2 linked regions of the Danio rerio genome follow. The protein of the gene in region 2 interacts with the protein of the main gene of each other region in a pairwise test. Links are inferred from orthologs where the notes say so. Each region holds a gene or a part of one and is shown on either strand. Other genes may lie near its edges. The genes, in order: edc3 and efhc2.

What was found.
Region 1: the proteins of efhc2 (region 2) and edc3 interact in binary tests that used the Homo sapiens proteins (3 or more experiments, as listed by UniProt). The link is inferred for Danio rerio from reciprocal best matches to the Homo sapiens genes EFHC2 and EDC3.

What each region holds. Positions count from the first base shown.
Region 1 is NC_133200.1:21,936,151-21,947,825, reverse strand, and holds part of edc3 (enhancer of mRNA-decapping protein 3), read left to right. Parts: intron 1-1,425; coding exon 1,426-1,700; coding exon of another isoform or gene 1,701-1,730; intron 1,731-6,360; coding exon 6,361-6,705; intron 6,706-7,409; coding exon 7,410-7,563; exon of another isoform or gene 7,564-9,655; intron 9,656-10,067; exon of another isoform or gene 10,068-10,237; intron 10,238-10,270; coding exon 10,271-10,488; intron 10,489-11,675. UniProt on the Homo sapiens protein: Binds single-stranded RNA. Involved in the process of mRNA degradation and in the positive regulation of mRNA decapping. May play a role in spermiogenesis and oogenesis.
Region 2 is NC_133184.1:35,456,133-35,467,807, forward strand, and holds part of efhc2 (EF-hand domain-containing family member C2), read right to left. Parts: intron 9,422-11,675; coding exon 9,256-9,421; intron 5,910-9,255; coding exon 5,767-5,909; intron 5,679-5,766; coding exon 5,482-5,678; intron 5,346-5,481; coding exon 5,212-5,345; intron 2,653-5,211; coding exon 2,458-2,652; intron 1-2,457. UniProt on the Homo sapiens protein: Microtubule inner protein (MIP) part of the dynein-decorated doublet microtubules (DMTs) in cilia axoneme, which is required for motile cilia beating.

The sequences.
Region 1 (11,675 bases), on a different chromosome or scaffold from region 2:
TGTAAGTTAGTTTATTAATGTATCGATAGGATGTGAGGACTAATTGCTTTTTATGGTACTTACTATCCTTAAACTTAGTTGCTGAATTATACAGGGTCGCCACAGCGGAATGAACCACCAATTATTCCAGCATATGTTTTACACAGTGGATACCCTTCCAGCGGCAACCCAGCACTGAGAAACTTATACATTACTGCCAGTTTAGTTACCTATTATTCACCTATACCGCATGTCATTGGACTGTGGTTGAAACGGGTACTTTTTACTTTTTTGCTTTTGTAAATTTTTGAGGCGCTACTTTTTTACTTTTACTTGATTACAAAAGTGTAGTCAGTACTTCTACTTTTTAAAAAATTGTACAAAAGCACGCACATCCCTCTTAACTGGGTGCTCAGCCAAAAAAACGCAAAAGGTGCAAATTAAATATTAATAAAAGGCGGCAACACCAAATCTCCAAAAATACTAATTTATTCAATTAAAAAAAGCTGACAGAAAGCATGTAAAAGGTTAAAGCCTGGATTGGTTTTTCTTTACAGAAACAAATCCTCCTTTACACATTCCTCAAAGCAGCTCAAATTAACAGTATTACCAATTCTGGATTATGGGGATGTAATTTACAGATGAGCTTCAAAAACTCTTCTTCTTAAACTGAATGTTATTTACTATGCAGCAAATAGTTTTGTTACTCTTGCGCCATTTAATATTCATCACTGTCAGCTGTATTCTTTACTGAATTATTCTTTGCTTCAAATTTAACAAATTCATTGGTTTCTGTTAATTTTCAAAACTCTTATTGGGAAAAACACCACTATATTTATTTACAGTCACTTCTTAAATTCAGGAAACATGTCGAAATCTGCGCTCTAATAGTTTTATTAACCTTTGCATACTCAACGTTCGCACTTCATTTGGTCGCAACTCTTCTCAGTTTTCTGCTGCTGATGCTTGGAATCATCTGCAGGAGACCTTAAAGCTCAGCACTCTCGTTTCACTACCATCTTTTAAAAATTAACTCCAATAAATATTACAAGATCACTGTGCTTGTCTTTTGTTTCGTTGGTTTTATATGTTATTTTCTGCATTTGTGAAATTGTTATTGTATTGTGTTCCTGCTGCTTTGTACTGTATCTGTTCCCTCTTGGTCAGGTCTTCATTGTAAATGAGAACTGGATCTTAGTTGACTTACCTGGTTAAAAAAAAGGTTATTAGTTACCAGACACACCCCTTACTGCTGATTGGCTACAAGTGTGTTTTGGGCGTTGGTCCGACACTGTTGTCAAAAGCATGTTTCAAATATTTCTTGATGCAATTGAGTGAGTTGCATTATATACTACAGTACATGAAATGTTACTCGGCTTAAAACAGGATAATTAATCTATGTGTACCATGAAGTCGCTTACTATATATTTCCTTCTTCCTCCACAGTGCCATGGACATAAAAGATCTCAAAATTTTAGAGATCTCCAAAAATTCTATTGAAGTTTCCAAGCAGAATGGTCCAGAGTCCAGCTCCACCACCTTGATGCCGCACGTTGGACGCAAGGACAAGGGTGGGGGTGGTGGTGGTGGCGCCTCGGTGAACAGTGCTCCTGTGATGGTACCTAATAAAGCTGAACCCAGACTGCAGGAAGGAGGAGTTTCGCCAGTGCCACATTATTCCAAGAGTTACGGTGAACGTCACATAGATATGGCTGTACAGGGTAAAGGCTTTAGACGAAGACACAACTCATGTGAGTCTTCTTAGTCGTATATCTATTTAGTTAAACTTCAGCCTTTATGTATATGATTCTATATAGTGAATATACAGTTAAAACCGTAACATTGTAAAAGATGATCATTTATTGTTAAGGGATATTATTAGACCTATTACAAATTGTAACTTAATTGAAAAAAAAAATCACGCACATCAATCTAAATGGGTGCTCAGCCAAACAAAAAGTGCTAAATGATTTCTGAAGGATCACTATCATTTTTATTTTTAATATGTTAAAAAAATGCATAAAGGCAGTGACACCAAAGCTCCAAAAATATAAATGTTTTGACTTAAAAAGGCTCTGACAAAGTGTGTGACGTTTCAAGCACATCAAAAACGTCACATGCTTTGTGAGAGCCTTTTTTAATTTAATAAAATGATATTTTTGGAGCTTTGGTGTTGCCTCCTTTAGGATTTTTTTACAAATTAAAAAATAAATTGATTGTGATCCTTTAGAAATCTTATTTAGTGCTTAAGAAACATTTGTTATTAAAGTGGCAATTGTTTTTGCTGCTGCTTTGTGGAAACTGTGATTCAGTTTCATTTAGTAGTTTGGGACAAGAAGGTTTTATATGGAGAAAAAAAAGAAGAAAAAACATTACTTTGTTTTAAGCAAGGATCCATAAAATATATCATAAGGGACAGTAAAGAATTGTAATGTAACAAAGGATTTACGTTTTTTTATATAAAATGTTCATTTGGATATGCAATTCAAAGAATCCTGAATTTTCCTTAGAATAGCAGTAAAAATAGTTTTCAGCATTGATTAAAAAGAAACATTAGTAATTGAAAACAAATAATAATTGATCTTATCTAAACAAAAAAATTAGAAGGATAATTTTAGGATAATATGACACTGAAAATTAGACTAGTGACTAGTAAACACATTTTTTTTAACATTTCCTTTTTAAATCACATTTTTACAATTTCTAATCAAATAAATGCAGTTTTAGAGCCATTAGAAATTCTTTTTCATTAGTCTTAAAGGGCACCTATGGTAAAAAAAATCTACTTTTCAAGCTGTTTGCACAGACATGTGTGTAAGTATAGTGTATAGACAGTCATATTGGGGTGATATAAACACACCCAGTGCTTTTTTTTTGTAATTTAACAACATAAAATTGGTGGACCAATTAGAGCGGTTTTCAGACGACCGCGACTTGATGTAGGAGTGTGGTCCTCCCGCCCACCAATATTGATTGACTGGCACGCGTCACCTAATCCTCCATTTGTAGTTTCACATCCGCCATTTTCAGCGCGAGTCAAAGCGATATCTTAAAGGAGCATCCTGGCTCTATTTTTAGATGCAAGGCTCATTGGGCTCAACACAATGTTCTCCACATTATCGCTCTAATTGGAATTATTGGTTGTACTTTTAGGTGGGTTTGCAGACGTGTACTTTTCATTATGTCTACCTTAAACTTCAGCCGTTTGCATTTCTCGCGTTCACAGAAGCTCCCTGTGATCTTAACTAGGTGCAGCTGGAAAAGTGCAAGCGCGTTGCCTCATGTGCGTGTCTCTCCATTGGAAATAAAATAACAAACTTGCCTGCAGGTCGCACATCAGAAGCTCCGCTCTTCGTGGTGCGACGTTGACACAGCGCCATGAATTTTGAAATTCTGGGCCTGGGTTTCTGTTGGGGTCACTGGTGTGCCGTGCGTGGCTTCGAGCTGCACATCCGGTGCCTCAGTCTAAGTTAATTCAGTATGCGTGGTTATTAGTCTAGGTGTACAAGCTCGGCACTTAAAACTAATTCACAGTTGGCTGTAAAACTATACAAAGACTCTTTACAAAGAGATTTTGTACTCTCTGCTTGGTCTGTGTCCGAGTCTTACATGTACAGCTGAATGCTGATCCTCTCATGTAGCTTACCTTCTCTGTCTGCCTGTCTGTTGCAAACACAGAGCTGGTGAGCTCTTGGCTCCGCCCCCTTGTTACATTGGGCGGGAAGCCGAAACTAATTTTCATGTGAAGCAACACGCCCCTAAAACAGCGAGCTGTGTACACGCCCCCAACATGACACTTTTTAACACATTATAATAAAGAAATCTGAACTGTGTGTTGAACTGAACCTAAACTGGCACACTCAGAAGAACCTTAATACTGATATTAAATCATAAAATGGGGTAAACTATGTGCCCTTTAACTGGTAATGTAAGTTATATTTTTTTCCTCTAACACATTTTTTCTCTATAAACTACAACTCAAATTCCAGAAAAGTTGAGACATTTTTAAAAATGCTATAAAATCAAGAATATGTGATTTGCTTATTATCTTTAACTGTTATTTAATTGACAAAATGTACTTAGAAAAGATTTCTAATAATTTCAGAGAGCAAATGAGTTATATTCTGGAAATATAAGCTAATTTTGATTTCAATGCCTGCAACACACTCCAAGTTTTACAAGCAAAAGGTTTTGCTAGGGCTGGGCGATTAATCAAAAAGTAATCGAAATCGACAATCAGAACCTACAATTTCCAGGTACATTTTTCAATTACTTTACCTACCACTTGTGGAGTCAAGTGACCTCGCTTTGTTAAGGCTATTTTCTACTTTTTTATATCATACTTCTGACATGCATACAGTCTGGTGCAGCCTTCGCATGCCCACCACCTTTCAAAAAATGTAGCTACACAATACAATGATATGTAGTGCAAGCTTTGTGATTGGTCGTTTTGGTAGTGGTGACAAGGGTGGATGGCACATTTTAGGCAATGTGTGTTTTATTATTAGTTGTTCAGTGTTGATGTTCAATAAATAATCATAGATATTAGATTATATATAGATAGTGTGTGTTTCGCTTCTCTGTGTTATAATTTTAAAATTAAGTAATCCACTCTACATTCAAAAATTTGTCAGTTGTAAGATGTGAGCATATTTACTGTGCAAAACCTGTCATTGAACTATGGGGTCAAAAAAACAAAATAAATATAGAAAATATTCGTAATCCAATTAAAAATGTTAAATTAATCAAGATTTTGATTTTAGGCAAAATTGCCCAGCCCTTATTTTTGCCCAATCTGCCATAATATAAAACTTGAGATGCTTAACAGTCAGTTGTTGTCATTATCTGTTTTTCCTTTTCATGATTACTTATTTTTGATCTGGACATCAGGGAGGCCAGCCAAACCACACTGTTTGTAGCACAGTGAACCAGGATGAGACTTGATCTAATAACCATACACTTACCATGAAAAACATTATCCTGATGATGGTATATGACTATGGTCATATATGGTATATGATATTCTACCAATATATGTCTCCATGTGAATGGTTCTTTTGCGCACATTTCTTTGCTGATTCCTGAACCATGAATTACTTTTACATTTGCAGACAAGTCCATATTTTAAGCTTGTTTCTGGAAAAAAACAGACGTTTGAGATTCCAGTCTCTAAGTTGAGATTGTATTTTTGATTATCTGAAATCCGCTCTGGTTTTCTATACTGCTTTCAGCATAAACAACAAGTCAAGTAGCATTTCTAGATGCAGCAGTTGCAGAGATGTTTCTGAAGTTCCACTAAGCTTTATTTAACAGCACAACATGACAGTTTTTTTTTATATGCAGTGCAATCTGAGGCTCTAAGCTTGAGCACATTCAGCTGTGGGTTCCTGCATTGCTCCACACTGATTGAGATTTATTTGTATTTACTCAATGTTTTCACAACATTAAATGTGGCAGTTGACTAAAATTGGCTGTGATTTTGCATTGATAAATGTGATTTTGGTTTTGTTTGGAAATTCTCACATGGCTTTTGGCACTAAGTGATGATCCATGATCCTGCTTTACTTGCAAATACTGAGATGCTTATTTTATACCCAACATGTAGCCTTAATGCAGTGCATCCGTAAAGTATTCATGTATGCACACTGCCAAAATATCAATGGATTGGCTTTACAACAACTCTGTGACTGTCCTTGAGTGACCCAGCCAGAGCCCAATCCTGTTGAACATCTCTGGAGAGATCTTAAAATGGCTGTACACCATCACTTTCTATCAAGCCTGATAGAGCTTGAGAGGTACTGCAAAGAGAAAAGGGCAAAAATTCCCAAAATACAGGTGTGCCAAGCTTGTGGCATCATATTCAAAAAGACTTGAGGCTGTACTTGCTGCCAAAGGTGCATCAACAAAGTATTGAGTGTGAATTGTTTTGAACTTGATTTTTCAGGTTTTTTATTTGTAATAAATTTGCAACAATTTCAAAAACTTTTTTTACATTGTCATTATGAGGTATTGTGTACAGAATGTTGAGAAAATAAATGAATTTAATTCATTTTGGAATTGAGCTATAGTATAAAAAAATGTGGAAAAAGTGAAGCGCTATGAATACTTTGCAGATGCAATGTATATCACCAATTGACCTGCTTATTATGGACTGCTTCAAAATGTTTCGTTTGGATATTCTGTGACCCTTTAACTTGTATTTTACCTCTTTCCCAATGTTTTTGGAGTGTGTAGCAGTAGCAGGCATTAAAACAAAAATCTGTTTCTTTAGACTTTTGTCACTTAAACAAAATGTAAAGATGATCAGCAAATCGCAAATTCTTGGTTTTATTGCATTTGTTTTCAGATTGTTATAAATGGCCGCTTTATTTTTGTTTCCAGGGTCGTCTAGTTGCAGAGGTCCAAATCAGGCCACACCGAAAAAGAACGGACTCAAGAATGGCGGTCACATGAAGAACAAAGACGATGAATGTTTTGGAGATGGTATGGACGATGTTCTCGATGAGGACTTTGACTTTGAAGGGAACCTGGCGCTGTTCGACAAGGCTGCGGTGTTCTCGCAAATCGAATCGTCAGAACGGCGAGGAAACGGTGCGAGATCTCGAGGGACACCTGGAGAGCAAACACCATCCAGATACCGGCACGATGAGAACATCCTTGAGGCCAAACCTGTCGTTTACAGACAGATCACAGTTCCACAGAATGGATCAAAAGAATATAGCACTGGTAAGAATCAGAGCTGCACTATAAGAAAAAAATGGCGTTGCAAAATTTAGTTTTTCTGCGATATGTAATATGAATACAATTGCACCAGATGGATTAAATGGCTCTAATTTCAAAGAAAGTGTCATTTAGGTTCATTAGGATGATTTTGTAGGGCAGTGTATCTGCATAAAATATAATAAACATAAAGCAAAGATAAATACAATGCACATTATGCAAATTAAATAATGAAAACCTTATGAAGTCTAAACACATTCAAATGTAGAAAATTAATAGTTTTAAGGAATATTTAGATTCATACCTTACCACAAGGTATCTTAATGGGTTTTGTGAATTAAGACAAAGTCCACTCAAGGAAGAAAATTAATAATAAAACTTAAAAATACATAATATGAATAAAAACAAATACAACAACAAAACAAAATCCTTTACTTAAAATCCGCTTTATCCGCTACTAAAATGTTAACAATACTTTTGAACAAATTGTCTCAAAACACACTTGCAGTCAATAAGCAGTAAGGTGTGTAGTTACTATAGTGGAGATATCAGAAAGGGCTTGAACTCCTGTTGGTTTGTGATCATGTTTGATTTAGTGCTTTCAATTAGTGACGTTTTTTTGGCAAAGTTGACTTTGCGCATTAGTTAAATAGCTATATTGGTATATTGTCTTCAAATATCAGAATTCATGCCATTTATTTCCTCCCTAGATTCAGGTCTTGTGGTACCCAGCATCTCCTTCGAGTTGCACAAGCGTTTGTTAGCTGCAGCAGAAAGTCACGGTCTCTCTCTGGAGCGCAGGCTTGAGATGACGGGTGTATGTGCGAGTCAGATGGCCCTCACGCTACTTGGAGGACCAAACAGGTTTGTGAGGCCTAAACAAAAAAGAATGTCATTTTGTGTCAAATAAACCAAATTACAGATGTCCTGAAGCATTCTTTGTTTGCACTGGTTTACATTTCCTGATAGTTGTAATTTAAAAGAAGGTAATTAACATGACAAAAACCATAAATTAGGATCTTAAGATTCCAGCTGTTTTATGACCTGTTTAAAATTTGTATTAGAAGTTGTAAGAATGAAACATAAAGAGAAATGTGAGCTCTGTCTGTTTAGAATAATATAACCGTATGGCTGTTATGAAAACAATTCTCTAAATAACATTCCTGTCACATGTCTCTGACTTTGAAATAGAAAAATCCCATCTTGAGAGTGCAAAAGCATTCACTGCATGATTAGGCATATTGTAATGTTAGAATAGCCCCATGATTCAATATTTGAAAGCAAAAAAAAATTTATTAAATACAAATAAGTTTATATTTTTAAGATGTGATATAGCTAAGTCACATCACATAAGCAAGAATGCTGAACATCTGTGCATTGCAATTTACAAATATAATATTGATATAATATTGATTGACATTCACATTCACCCATTTAGCAGACATTTTTGTCCAAAGCAACTTACTAGTGAGGCATTAAGCAGTTCAACATGAAGAGGCATAGGAAGTTGTTGTTTTTATGCAGAATATTGTTTTTATTTTCATTTTTAGTCAAGAACCAAAGCAGCCAATGTTGGGTAAGTTGTTGTAGATTCCAAATTGCTGATTACTACTGAAAAATTGTTATCTGATTACATTACTAATTACTTAATGTAAAAAGTAATCAGATTACTTTTTACTTTACTTCGTAGTTACTTTTAAAACACATTAAATATACCTTTCAAAATACAAAATAAACTGCAGCTCTTTTAGTAAAATAATATTCACTGAAAAACATTAAAATGGGTTGATCACTGCAGCTTGACATATTCAAAAACTTAAAGAGTTCGCCCAAAACTTTCAATTCTCTTATCATTCACTTGCTTCAAACCTCTGATAACATAAAAACCATTTAGATCAAAACTGAATACCTGTAACGATTGAAATCCATAATATGAAAAAGCACTGCAGTGTCTGGGTGTTCTGTGTTTGTCTGAGGTAATTAGTCTATCTATATGTGTATATTCCATACAAAGTATGAAGATGACCGGTCAGTTCTTGTCATAAGACTCTCAGTTTTATTGGGTGCGCAAGTTACATGCGAGTGCGTGCAAAAGCACTCCCAATATGCGCGCAATTTTTGCGACTCGATTGGAATTAACAAACTCGCACATCCAAAAGACGTGATATGTAAAGGGCAGCTTCACAGCTTTTCTCTTTACATTCAGAAGATACCTTCACTGCCGATCCTGTACAAAAATCCAAGTTTGCCTGTTTAGTTGAACCACCGTGTTTTTGGGTGCTGGTGTTCTGTTTGGTGACTAATATTGTCCTAGAATGCTTTCCATTCAAGTGCTTGAACAAGTTGCTGGTCTAGAAAAAAAGCAGTTGAAAGTTCTTTAGAGGCTGGACATAGACTTCATTTCATTGTTTTTTTTTTACACTCAATGAAACCAATATAATGTCTGTGTTTCCACTTGAGGAAGCAACCATCCTCCTCAACAGCTGTTTCAGCTTGCGTTCTAGAGCAGTTTAAAAGCGCATGCTTATTAACTGACGTTGCAGCAGAAAACGGGATTTAAAATAAGCATTTTTTTCTTCTAAAAACTGTATTTAAAACGCAATTACATCGACTTAAGTAACTGTAATTACACAGATTAAAAATGTAATGCGTTACATTACTGCATTCCCAAAAAACGTAGTTAGAATACAGTAACGTGTTACTGTTTATTGAGATACACCCAACTTTACAAGCAGCTAAGGAAGCCCTGCAGTTGGAGATAACAAAATGTAAAATTCCTGTTAAACCTGCATTGAATCTGAATATTAGTGAGAAATGGCAAATGGAATGGGATGATAGTAGAATTAAAAATTTATACAAAGTTAATCTATTTGTAAATGAACAAAATAATTACCATTTTGAAAATAGACATGATCAGGTTGTGTGTGTGTGTATATATATGTGTGTATATATATATGTGTGTGTGTGTGTGTATATATATATATATATATATATATATATATATATATATATATATATATATATATGTGTGTGTGTATATATATATATATATATATATATATGTGTGTGTGTATATATATATATATATATATATATATATATATATATATATATATATATATATATATATATATATATATATATATGTGTGTGTGTGTATATATATATATATATATATATATATATATATATATATATATATATATATATATATATATATGTGTATATATATATATATATATATATATATATATGTGTATATATATATATATGTGTATATATATATATATGTGTGTATATATATATATATATATATATATATATATATATATATATATATATATATATATATATATATATATATATAGTTGTACATATGTAGAACTGGTCATTCAAGACTTACACTTATATTTATTGAAGGAGAAAAAAAACTGTGTAAGAAGGTTTTGCCAATGCTGCTGATATGGCATTAAACATAAATAAATAAATGTAGTCAATAACCTGTGTTTAAGATGACACAGATTGACCCATATGTATGCTCTGGTTTTCATCAGTCTGGTTCTTCTCTTAGACTTACCCCAAAGAATGTGCATCAACGACCCACGGTAGCCCTGCTGTGTGGCCCTCATGTCCAGGGAGCTCAGGGAATCAGCTGTGGACGTCACTTGGCCAACCATGAAGTAGAGGTCGTCCTTTTCCTGCCAAATTTTGTCAAGATGTTGGAGGCCATCACCAGTGAACTAGCACTATTCGGAAAGACGGGAGGCAGACTGGTTTCTAATGTGAAAGGTGTGCCACTTATGCAACTGCATTTATTAACTACATTATTTGAAAAGTACTGATATATAAAATAAGTTTTAGATGTTTAATTATGGTTAAATGTCAGAAACATTTTAGAAAATTTATCGTGATGTACAAAACATTAGGGTTAGTGAGGCTGCATTTACACTATTGTATTTTTATTTTAAAACCGCTTTAAACTCTTTATCCATATTGTCTTTTTTACTATGTTTTAGTATCCCTCCACACTTTACAGCATACAGTACATGATTTGTGACCATTCACACTCACTGAGCATGCAAATAGTTCACCGACATCCTTGCTTGTTTTGTATTGGTCATATGAGAGGAGCGTGATGAATCAGAGAACGATACACAAGGCAAGAGAACCAGTCAGGGAGTGATTGTGGATAGCTGCGCCTCTGTATTCAAAAGTTTGCATTTCAGTCCATCTAGTGTAGACGCTTGATGTAACTATAACAAAGCCGATACATTTTAAACCAAAATGCACCAGTGTAAAAGGCACCTACGTATCCTATAATGACAGAGTAATATAGTCATGGCACAACAGTATATTTCATATTACTAAGGATTGTAATTGGCTTTTTTTCCCCATTTTATATTTTTTAAAAATTATGCATTTCTAATGCCTTTCACATTACCAAGAGCAGCTATTAGATTGTTATGTAAACATGTGATGCATATTTTGTTTTTCTTAAGAGAATAAAGACAAATGATGGGAGGTACACTACCAGTCAAAAGTTTGGGGGCATTTTTGTTTTTAATTATTTCATGTTTTTTTTTTTTTTTTTTTTTTTTTATAAAATAATTCTGTTCACCAAGGCAGCATTTATTACGTATAAAAACAATTGTCAAATTGTAAAATGTTTGTAAAAAAATTTAAAAACTGCTTTCTTGTATGTAGTTTTAAATGAAATTAATACTCCAGTCATTATTGCTTTTATTACTATTAACATTAATAATAATAATAATAATGGTAATAATGGTAATAATGCTAATTAATATAACAGTGATTTCTGAAGGATCGTGTGACTCTGAACAATAGAGTAATGAAGGTGAACATTCATCTTTAAAATCACTGGAATAAATTTATTCATTTTCTTTTCGGCTTAGTCCCTTTATTTATCCAGGATCGCCACATCGGAATGAACCGCCAACTTATCCAGCACATGTTTT
Region 2 (11,675 bases):
GCTATCATAACATTATTCATAAATATGTGGCTCATTTTGGATTTTAGGAAAATATAGAAACGTTGGGACCATTGTTTTTGTTTACATCCCTCAAAATGGTCTATACAAAGAAAATGACAAACTTTCCATTAAAACAAACATGTATTGTAATTTATTAGAAACATTTTACTCTAATGTTGAATGTTTCCCATTTTATTTTATCTTGCATTAAAGCTAAATTAAACTAATAATTATATTTCATAATTCATTTGTTAATTAAAAATAAAACTAAAAATATTTAAAGCTCATAGAAACTAATAAAATGACTAACTTAAACTAAAAAAATAAAGCACAAAAAAACTATTTCGAAGATCATTTTTGTTTACTTTTAATTAAATAAACTAGAATATATTTAATTTTTTGTTTCTCTTAAAACTATAACAAAAAAGAAAATAATAAATCAGTAAAGAAATATTAATACAAAAACAAATAAAAAGATGAGTAAAACTGGAATGAGTACAACCAGCTTTACATTTACAAAATTACATTTAAAAATAAAATAATTAAACCAAAAAATATTAAAATAAAAAATAATAAAAACAAAATGACTTGAACTTTAACTTAAAAACTCAAGATAAAAAACTAATTCAAATTCAAACGATAATCGAAACATTTAACAGCACATTAATTCAGTTAATCAATTAAATATAACAGCAAAACTGAATCTGAGCAGTCAGTATTCAGTTTCACATTATCATTTTTTGTATAAGATAATTAAATGAATTAAAGGTTAAAAAGCAAAAAGCTATTTAAAACAATTAACCATTATTAACTATTTCAATCTTTACTGTCTTCATAAAGTAAATAAATGTATTACTGACCCCAAACTTCTCCACATCATAAACCATATAAATACATTTCTGATTCACAAATAGTCACGCAGTTTACAGTCTTCCAACGCAGTTTGGACCTGCACACATTCCAGCTTGGTTATTTTCCGGACATATTGAACATCGTAAAATAAGTCGACTTTCCACAGGGCCACATAAACAGGACAAGCACGTTGACCTGTCGGCTTTCTTCCTCATCCATTTCCCCTGCCTGCAACAAGCCACAGGTCTTCATCTGTTTCCAATGCTTCAGTTGAGCCGCTGGAACTAATCGCACCCCCTCAATCTAAAGCAGATTGATGCTTATTCTGCCTCTGCGTGATTGTTAAGGGTGACTGTGTAACTCTGAAGAACTGTGAGTTTGTGTCCCTGAAGAACGTGTGACATGCTTTCGTGGTTTTGCATGATGGCATGTTTATGTCAGTGTTGATTTTATACATGATTTTATGCATGCGGTCATATTGAAGATGAAGTATAGAATGGAACACAGATAGTATTTCATTTCATTAGATTAAATATTTAAATGCAGTGACTTCCAAAAAAATTAGACAATATAAAAATAATACATATTTTCTTAGCTCATTGATACAAATGTGATAAAAGATACATTTTAATTTTATAAAATGCTAAGAACTGGTTTAATCACAAATAAAAATAAGTTTGTTTTCATTTCATATGCAGTTGAAGAATTATTAGCCCCCCTGAATTATTAGTCCCTGTTTATTTTTTTCCCAATTTCTGTTTAACGGAGAGAAGATTTTTTTAATACATTTCCAAACATAATAGTTTTAATAACTCATTTCTAATAACAGATTTATTTTATCTTTGCCATAATGACAGAACATAATATGTGACTAGAAAATTTTCAAGACACTACTATACAGCTTAAAGTGACATTTAAAGGCTTAATTGGGTAAAATAGGCAGGTTATGGTAATTAGGCAAGTTATTGTATAACAATGGTTTGTTCTGTAGACTATCGAAAAAAAATATAGCTTAAAGGGGCTAATAATTTTAACCGTAAAATGTTTTTTTTTATTGCTTTTATTCTAGCCGATATTATATAAATAAGAATTTCCAGAAGAAAAAAAATATTATCAGACATACTCTGAAAATTTCCTTGCTCTTTTAAACATATATTGGGAAATATTTCAAAAAGAAATTCAAAGGGGGGCTAATAATTCTGACTTCAGCTGTATAAGTGTGTACTATGTATATTTATTATGTATATATAAATACACACATACAGGCATATGTTTGCGAAAATGTTTATTTATATTTAGATATGAATAATGCATGTATATAATACACATTATATTATAAATATATAAATATGTTTAGTATAGTTAGGATTTTATTTATTTATGTGTATATCACATATACACATATACATATCACATATACATAATACACATATTTAATTTATGCATAAATTATGTCAAAACTAACTTTTCTTTTGGATGCAATTAATTGTAATTAATCTTTGCCCCACACTTTGCTTATTTAAAATTAATTAGAATGTATCTTTGATTGAAATTGTATTAATAAGCTAAAAAATGTATGTATTATTTTCAATGATCAAACTATACCTGTCCCGGTCCTCATGTGTGAAAGCTTGGATCATTTCTGAGAACTTCTCAAAGTTTTTCTTCTTCAGATGATCCTGAGCCACAGCAAGCATGAGACCCACGTTCACCTCTGGCTGCTGCCGCACCGAATAAACACGACCCAGTGTCATGATCTCATGTTCGGACAACTCCACGTCCAAATCTGCCAACAGAGTCCTGGAAACCACACAGACATTTACTCAATCACTGTCTCAAACTGAAGAGGTAACCCACAGCTTTTTCTGTGACAAAACAGTGATATGTTTGTTAAATTAAAAAAGTAAATAATTGGCAGCTATTACATTATTTAAATTGTATTTGAATAACATTTCTAATTACTATGTCTGATAAGTAATTTAATTACTAAATAAAGAATTAAATGACTGAATAAAAAAAACTCAATTCATATAGAATAAAAATAACTTCATTCTTTTCGCTTAATAAAAACATGAAAGGCTTAAGCATTTTAATAAAAAGCATCACATTCTTTAGTAATCAGAATTACAAAAGTATTTCGAATTGTTTCAGACATCTGCTTTCATAGAGTACACGCAATATATTTTATTAACATTTTAATTGTTTCTTCAGCATGTGTAATTGTCTGACAAATGTAGCTTTCTATAGCTGAAAAATAATTATTTTTTACAAAATACCTAAATAGGGAAAATTTGAAAATTGAAATTTGTAAAAATAAAAAAATAAATAAAAAAATTGGAATATGTATTATTCTGCTTTTCTGAATTTATATATTTTCCTGAACTGTTTTCTGACTCAAATCAGTGTTTTTTAAGAATGCAGCTGTATTAATAAGCATAACCTTTAGTTTAAAATATAATTAATATGCAAAATCTATTAATATAGCAAAATACAAATAATCTGCTTTTCTGAACTGACTTACAGAACTCCTGAATGTACAGTTAAAGTCAGAATTATTAGCCCCATTTTGAATTTTGTTTCTTTTAAAATATTTCCCAAATTATGTTTAACACAGCAAGTAAATTTTCACAGTAGGCCTGATAATATTTTTTCTGCTCGAATAAAAGCAGTTTAAATTTGTTATGAACCATTTTAGGGTCAAAATTACTAGCCCCTTTAAGCTATATATTTTTCTATAGTCTACAGAACAAACCATTATACCACATCAAATCCAGTTCCTAGAGGGCCGCAGCTTTGCACATTTTAGTGCCAATCCTTAATCAAACACCTGATCAAACTAACTGAGTCCTTTAGGCTTGATTAAAACCTATACAGGTAAGTGTGTTGAAGCAAAGTTGGAATTAAATTATGCATGGCTGCGGCCTTCCAAGAACTGGATTTGACACCTCTGCATTATACAATAACTTGCCTAATTACTGTAACCTGCCTAGTTTATCTAATTAACTTAGTTAAGCTTTTAAATGTCACTTTAAGCTGTATGGAAGTGTCTTGAAAGATATCTAGTAAAATATTTAATGTCATCATGACAAAGATAAAATAAATCAGTAATTAGAGATCAGTTACTAAAACTATTATGTTAAGAAATGTGTTAAAAAATCATCCCTCTATTGAACAGAAATTGGGGAAAAAATAAACAGGGGGGCTAATAATTCAGGGGGTTTAATAATTCTGACTTCAACTGTATATGCATGTGTCTTTGAAACATTACATGACAGTGATTAAAGGGATAGTACACCAAAAACTGAATTATTGCTAATAATTCTGACTTCAACTGTATTTTCAGTATTTACTAAACTATATAAGTTTTCCGGTGATGGGTTGCAGCTGGAAGGGCATCAGCTGCGTAAAACACATGCTGGATAAATTGGTGGTTCAGTCCGCTGAGGCGACCCCTGATTAATAAAGGGACTAAGCCGAACAGAAAATTAATTAATGAATGAATACTGCAAGTAACTAATTAAATCACCTAATTCGTTACTGTAGTTTTTCAGTGACGAGTTAATTTTTAAGTAATTTAATTAAAGCAACTTGTTGTTTTGTAACTTAAAATACCCAGTAGTAATGTATTAACTATAGAGTTCACTTATTTCTAAACATAATCCATGCTTAACCTGGCATGACTTGTCCTTGATTTTTCCTGTCAGTTCTGTTCAGAGTTTTCACGTGATGTCACATCCCATTAACACCCACCTAGATCACAAAAACAAGGCTTTTTCTGCATTTCATTTTACCAGCTTTGTACTTAAAGCTTATGTAGTAATGATGTAATGTAGTAATGAAAGTGTTTACATTAGTAATTTGGTTCTGTTTGGTCAGTGCAATTAGCATTCAATTGCTCATTGTGTTTTTATCAGTTCATAGCTTGAGAAAAGCTTATAAAACATGTTAGACCAACTGAACTTGTCACATTTTATTGCTCTTAATTTCTATCTCTATTTTCTGAGTGTTAATATCCCTGTCCTCTATACATCAATCATGTCAACCCGTTTTACACTGTTTGCTGGTTTTAGTGCTTTAAATCTGACAGCGGGTACTGTATGTGGATCACAAATGCACAAAACCTGCTGGTCATCTAAATGTTTGCGGCTTAACTCAAATGTAATCTCAACATTTTTTCCCTGCAGGTCTGTTGCACCAACCCCTTTAAAGAAAACTTCTGCAAATAACATTGCCCATAATTAAATCTCACAATCAGTGAAACTGATCCAGAATCTCACTCGGTATATCTATATAATATATGGCAGGCGGGAACAAGATGTAATGTGTCTTTTATTTGTGTATTTTTGGCCAGCTCCTTACCTGAATGACTCATATGGAAGAGAGCCAGTGCTGCTTGGGTCACTCATGGTGAAAAACTGTTTTACTTTCTTCTGCTGTTCCTCACTGATGGATTTTACCTTGCTAATGATGGTGCCAATGTTGGCCTTGGGGAACTAAATAATTGAGAAAAATAGGTGAAGGACTTTTAATGGAGATTCTATATAGAGACATATATCTTGATATTTTGCTCAGCAACATTAATTAAAACAGGCTGAAAATTGAAGCAACGAGATGGTTTTTGTGTGTTACCTCATCTGCATGCTGCTCCATATAGCTGAATGTAAAATCGTCAGCATCCACCAGCTGGAAAGGTTGACTGTTCAGAAGCAGATGAGCTCCAACATACAAATCCTGAGCAGTGAAATACTCCGACATCTCACTTTTAAACAGCTCCTGTCCTGGCTTCTTCACTCGCCCCCTCTCTAAGAACTTACCCCCGATCACACCTTCATCACAAGAGCAATATAAAAACATACAGTAAAATTGAAATGTTTATTTTCCTAAACTGAATTTATATGAATAGGCTGACAATACCTGAGTTTCTCTGTGGAGGTTCAAAGACAGCTATTGTGTCATCAGTAAGGTAGAAGCATATGATAAAAACACGTTCCTTGTCGACAGGACTGTCTGTCAGCATTTTCCCCACAAATCTCAGCACGTTGCTCACCAGACCTTGCCTTACATTGAGAACAATAACTGGCATAAGATCATTACGAGTAAACATAATGAAATTAAATGATTCATTACGTTTATTGGATTTTTTTCAGGGCCATGTTGGAGAATATTTCGCCTATTGCACAGTTTGTTTGAGCTGATTAGCAGATCTCATTCAAATGTTCTTATTTTATTATCTAATAATGTGAACATTAGGAGATTTAGACATTCAATAAAGGGTAAGTTCACCCAAAAATGAAAAATATTTATTCGTGCATATAATTTCGTTTTTTTATCAAATCAAATTGACCTCCATGAAGTTGGCACCCCATAAAAACAAATAATCCCCAAAACTATGCCATTCGTTTGTGCTATATTTGTGCAAGAATTAATGTTTGTGTTGGTTTGGGGTCTGAGATATTAATCATTATTTCTTTTGACCGTTCAATGTCACTTTCCACCCCATCTTGCTCAAATCACTTCAAATCAGCACAGGTTGTTTGTGCTGGATTTGTGCCGTTAAAACAAACACTATATCTGTTTGTCTCGTTTAGATATAAACAATATTTCGGGAGCCGTGGCATCACTCTCCACCCCATTTTCTCGAAATCACACCAAACTAGTGTCATTCGTTTGTGCCTGATTTGTGCTGGTTTGTGCTGTTATAACAAACATTTTAGTGCCATCAGCTGGACAGGACTGCGTTTTTCTGTCTCTTGAGTGTGAAGTTGAAATAAAAGCAGAAACAGGGAGGAAAGACAGACAAAACACAGTCCTGTCCATCTGATGGTGCTAATGCACCAAAACATGCACCTCAAAAATGAAGAAGATGATAGAGGATGCTGGCTGGAAGTTACACAAAATGGTTTTTAAAGTATGGATATTTTTCTCACAAAAATTAGTGGATTCAGTAAAGGAGACCTTTATTCACCTCCCAGAACACCGTGTGGGACTTTATTTTATTATGGATAGATGCACTTTAGTAGACTACTGATAATAATCAGCCAAATATGGCCATTGTAGTCCTGGAAAAGTCCAGTATAGTTTTTTTTAAATAACTCAGATTGGATTTGTCTAAAAGAAGTCAATCATATAAACTAGGGCTGTGCGATTAATTAAAATCATATCGAAATCGAGATTTGGACATGCGTGATTTCTAAATCGCCTTACAGCTCAATCTTCCTGCAGTATGGAATTTGACCCAGTCATAACGCGTGTAAACACCAGACTGAATAGCCTGTGTATACAGCAGGGATGTCCAAACTCAGTCCTGGAGGGTCGGTGTCTTGGAGAGTTTAGCTCCAACCCTAATCAAACACACCTTAGCCAGCTAATCAAGCTCTTACTAGGAATACTAAAAACTTCCTGCCAGGTGTGTTGAAGCAAGTTAGAGCTAAACTCAGCAGGACACTGACCCTCCAGGACTGAGTTTGTACACCCCTGGTAGACAGGGATTATAATTTCAGCACAGGGCGACTTGGTGTCAAAAAAAGTCAACATCTGTAGTTTTGGATTAAGTTACTTTGGATACAGGAAGGCTGATGTATGGCAGAACCAGGTAATTTGTAAGTCGAAAAGCGTGTGCACACAATCCACACACCTCCATGGGAAATAGTGTACTTGTGCAATCAAAAGACGCAAAATGTGAACGGCCTATTTCATGGCAGCATCACAAAGAGGTCAATGATCTATGCATGACAAAACAAATCTGTGAATACACGCACAACTACTTCTAAAATCTGGTCAGGCAGAACATCGGTGCCTTATGCCAAGTTCAGACTACATGATTTTCACATTGCATGACTACCTAGGTTAGCAATTCTGTCATTGCTGAAATGTACTTATTTTGCTCACATGGCTTTTGAAGGGAATTAGCAATTTCTCCTCAACTTTTTTCTGGTTGTGATATGTGCTCCTGCAAACTTTACACTAGGTTTTCCTCCTTTCTTGGATCCAAATAAACTGAAAATGAGCGCTTTTAATTTCCTTCTCAACCTCCCACTGGCCGGCAGATACCCATACAAGTGGATGCTGCTCTTACATTGGCAGTAGGTAATCGGCGATGTTATTTTTGATCAGAACACACTTCACACGGCAGGATTTGAATCGCAGACAGCTGCAGATATTTAGCATTCCAACTATCTCAAGGGTGTCTGCAACTCATCGGCAATTCTCTCAGATTGCATCTTTGATAGTTCACACTGTGTGACTGTTACTTGCATGAACAAGCACTTATTTGACTGTAATTTGAGGCATTTGTCGCTAAAATGATGCAGTCTGAACACGGCATTACTTGAGTTTGATGATGCGCACTCTCACATACACGTTTTGCCATAGGTCTGTTCTTGAGACACTTTTCTTCAGCCTTACTAGGTCATTTTTGCTTTATTTATGCCTGTTTTAGAGACATGTTACAGGTCTTTGATAAAGATCAAAACGTTCTTCTTTTGAAATGTTTCAGATTCACACTAAACACAGATTAAGTCTGTCATAAAATCGAAATCACAATATTGTTGATATTGAAAATCTTAATATGTTTCTTTTGCCATATTGCACAGCCCTAATATACACCTATAATGCCCATTGGGGTGAGTAAATCATGGGATCATTTTCATTTTTTGGTGACCTCCCTTTTTTGGGTGAATCCCTTTAAGCTGTTTGTATCACTCACAGCCTATCACCATCTGTTTTGAAATTACTTGCATGCAACATTTTTGTGCCAAGTATTCTTATATGCTTACTATATTAACAGACCTCTACTTTACTAGAAAGTTCTCTTTCAGAAAGACATGTCCTCTTTCCATCTTACAGTGACTGTTCTTTAAATATTTAGTTCACTAGGCCGAGAGGACCATTCAGGAAGTTTCCTTGCTTATTCACTGTGGCTTTACTCCGGTCACTTATCTGCTTTGAGTTTACCATCTTTAAAACAATCCTTTATTTAGCAGAGCCTTCTTGTTCCCTTCAACCCCTATGCCTGCCAATGTCTAACGCAGTATTGTCCAAAGCAAATTGAGCGAGTGAATAATTTGCCGTGTGATACTGGTTCTGGGATTATATTTGGAAGCAAAGCTCTGTGAAAACTATGTATAATAATAAACCGACTTGCAAAAGCGTGTTTTACATCAGAAGTATCATGAGATTGCATTTAAGCCTTTGATTATTTATAAAGGGCATGTGTTCATCCACTTCCAAGTGCAAAGAGCTGCACTTAACTAAAAGATGATTTTAGTGGGATTGACAAGGGTCTAAACTCTTCTGTCAGAATGATCAGAAAGCCAGTATGGGTCTGACATGTTGTTTTGATATAATATTAATGGTTTGAAATGAGCGGGAAGCATCCTGTGGGAGATTAATAGTGCTGGCTACCTGTCTTTCTCCATAAGCTTCTTGAAATCCTTCTGTGGGGGTTTAGGCAGCAAACCCTGGCAAGAACACAGTGAATCCTCCTCAGATCCAAATCCAGTGTAGGGTGGCACCTGCTTAGCTGGTTTAGGTGGAGGTGAGGCCTTGTATGAGATAGATGGGAAGTCCTCTGTGAAATGGGAGACATGTTGTCATCTACACTTGGCATTTAAAAACATCTCTTTAATACAATTTCTACCACTTTCTCACACAAACAGTCAGTAAAACACACATCAATGTCCAGAGTCAGAACAATGGCAAGTCCAACAAGTTCAAAGATAGCGTTTGCCAACTGGAAATATAAGCACTACTTTTCCCTTGTTAAGGTGAAAGGCAGGAATGTTTATATATGCCCAGGAAAAACAGTGTCTCTGCATCGTTGACAAGTAATTATAATCTAAAGAGGAGACAAAGACACAACGCCAAATAAAACTTAATTTTTCTCCACTTCAAACACTCAGAAAGAATTAAACAAAAAATATCTGGAGATATAGTTAAGGACATGCTACCATTGTCTCTCACATTGTCCCACAACAACATTTAGGGTAGATTAGAGTACAGGGTTTTAAATTTATTTTATAGTCATTTGACAAATTTGGAAATTTTTTGGCACATTTGCTATTAACTAGGTGCAATGGTGAAAACGGAATGCTTCACTAGTGAGGAAATGTATCTTCTCCTGCACAATGTTAAACTGGGCGGCCATCTATGTAATGAGCTGAATTCCACCTAAGCCCTCTGAGGTGAAGGTTTGGAAAGAGGTAGCTAATTTTATATTTATGTAGAAAATAATAATGTTTTATATTTTAATCCTTTAATCTTGCATATTAAAGATATTTGTGTGCTGCTGTGCATACCTGTGTGGATAATAAGCAAAGTGGACTTACAATTTGGCCCCACCTATCACCAACATGCACTTTATATGACAACAACAACAACAAAAAACTGTATCATTGACATTAGACTAGCTTTTAGTTAGTCAATGCCACAGTTTCAGTTGCCTCAGAACAGCAAGGGGGCAGCAATGCTCCCTAACACAGCTCCTTTTCAAAGCAGCACACAAATTGGTGCAAATGCATACCTGTGCCAAGCTGAAACAAGCAAAAAACACTTCTCTCACATCTGGCACTGCACTGCACCAGGTATATGGTAGGGCCCTAGATGTAAACAGTGCCCTAATTAGACTGAAAACCGAAAGAGAAGCCAGACAGAGTTACGTTTAGCCATATGAATTTGGTCTATTGCCTCTTGACCCTTGAGAAGTGAACAAGTGCTTCATCAGAGCCGGTGTCAACCCGGCTCCATTAGGCTCATGTGTAACTAATGCTATGATCTCTTGAGTCGGCATAACGCCACGGCAGACAGATGCACGCGCACCCGTATTGTGTTACCGTTGACACGGAGCTTGTGTGCTTCTGATGTCCGGGCTTTTGAAGATAAAGAGGCCTGGCTAGCCATTGCTCATATCTGCTGTCCAAAAACTGAGTCACCTTGAGGTGTCAATCAGTTCTGCTCCTTTCATTCAGTGCGTGTTATTCCGACAGTTTTTCAACGGGATGAAAGCACACTGGGGAGCAGTAGTCTCTCATAGAGATGTGAGATTTATGGCAGGAAGACTTTGAAAATAACGAACAGCTTGTAAGACCACACAGATGAGATGCGTGTAGAGAATGAGGGGTCGGGGTATGTAGATTTGCTTTGCACTTCATTAGATTAAGCAGTAGAGCACAAGATGCACAAGCTGTGGAGAGTTTGTTTGGAGCTAACAAAATAAATGCCAGTTCAAGAGCCAAGTTCAGAGCCAGAGTCACAGATGAAACTCAATGCTGACATCATGTGGTCAGTAACAGCGCTGCCAAACTCCTCCCTTTGAAAATCATCATTCATTTTCCATAGCTTAGTCCCTTATTTATCAGGGGTCACCACAGCAGAATGAACCGCTAACTTTTCCAGCATATGTTTTATGTAGCGGATGCCTGTCCAGCCACAGTCCAACACTGGAAAGCAACCATACACTCTCACATTCACACAATTACAGTTTATTCAATTCACCTATACCACATATCATTGGACTGTGGGGAAAAGGGGAGAATGCAAAGGACACCCACGCAAACTTAGGGAGAACATGCAAACTCCACACAGAAATGCCAACTGGGCCAGCTGGCACTCGAACCAGCAACCTTCTTGTTGTGAGGCAACAGTGCTAACCACTGAGCCACTGAAAAGCACATGTATATTATGCATAATATATATAATGAAAATAAAAATACATTCTCCAAACTATTTGTTCTATATAGAGTTATGAAAATATTAAGGTTGTTATTATTACTATTATTAATATTACTGCAACCTGATATAGGACAATTATTTAGTTATAATTATTA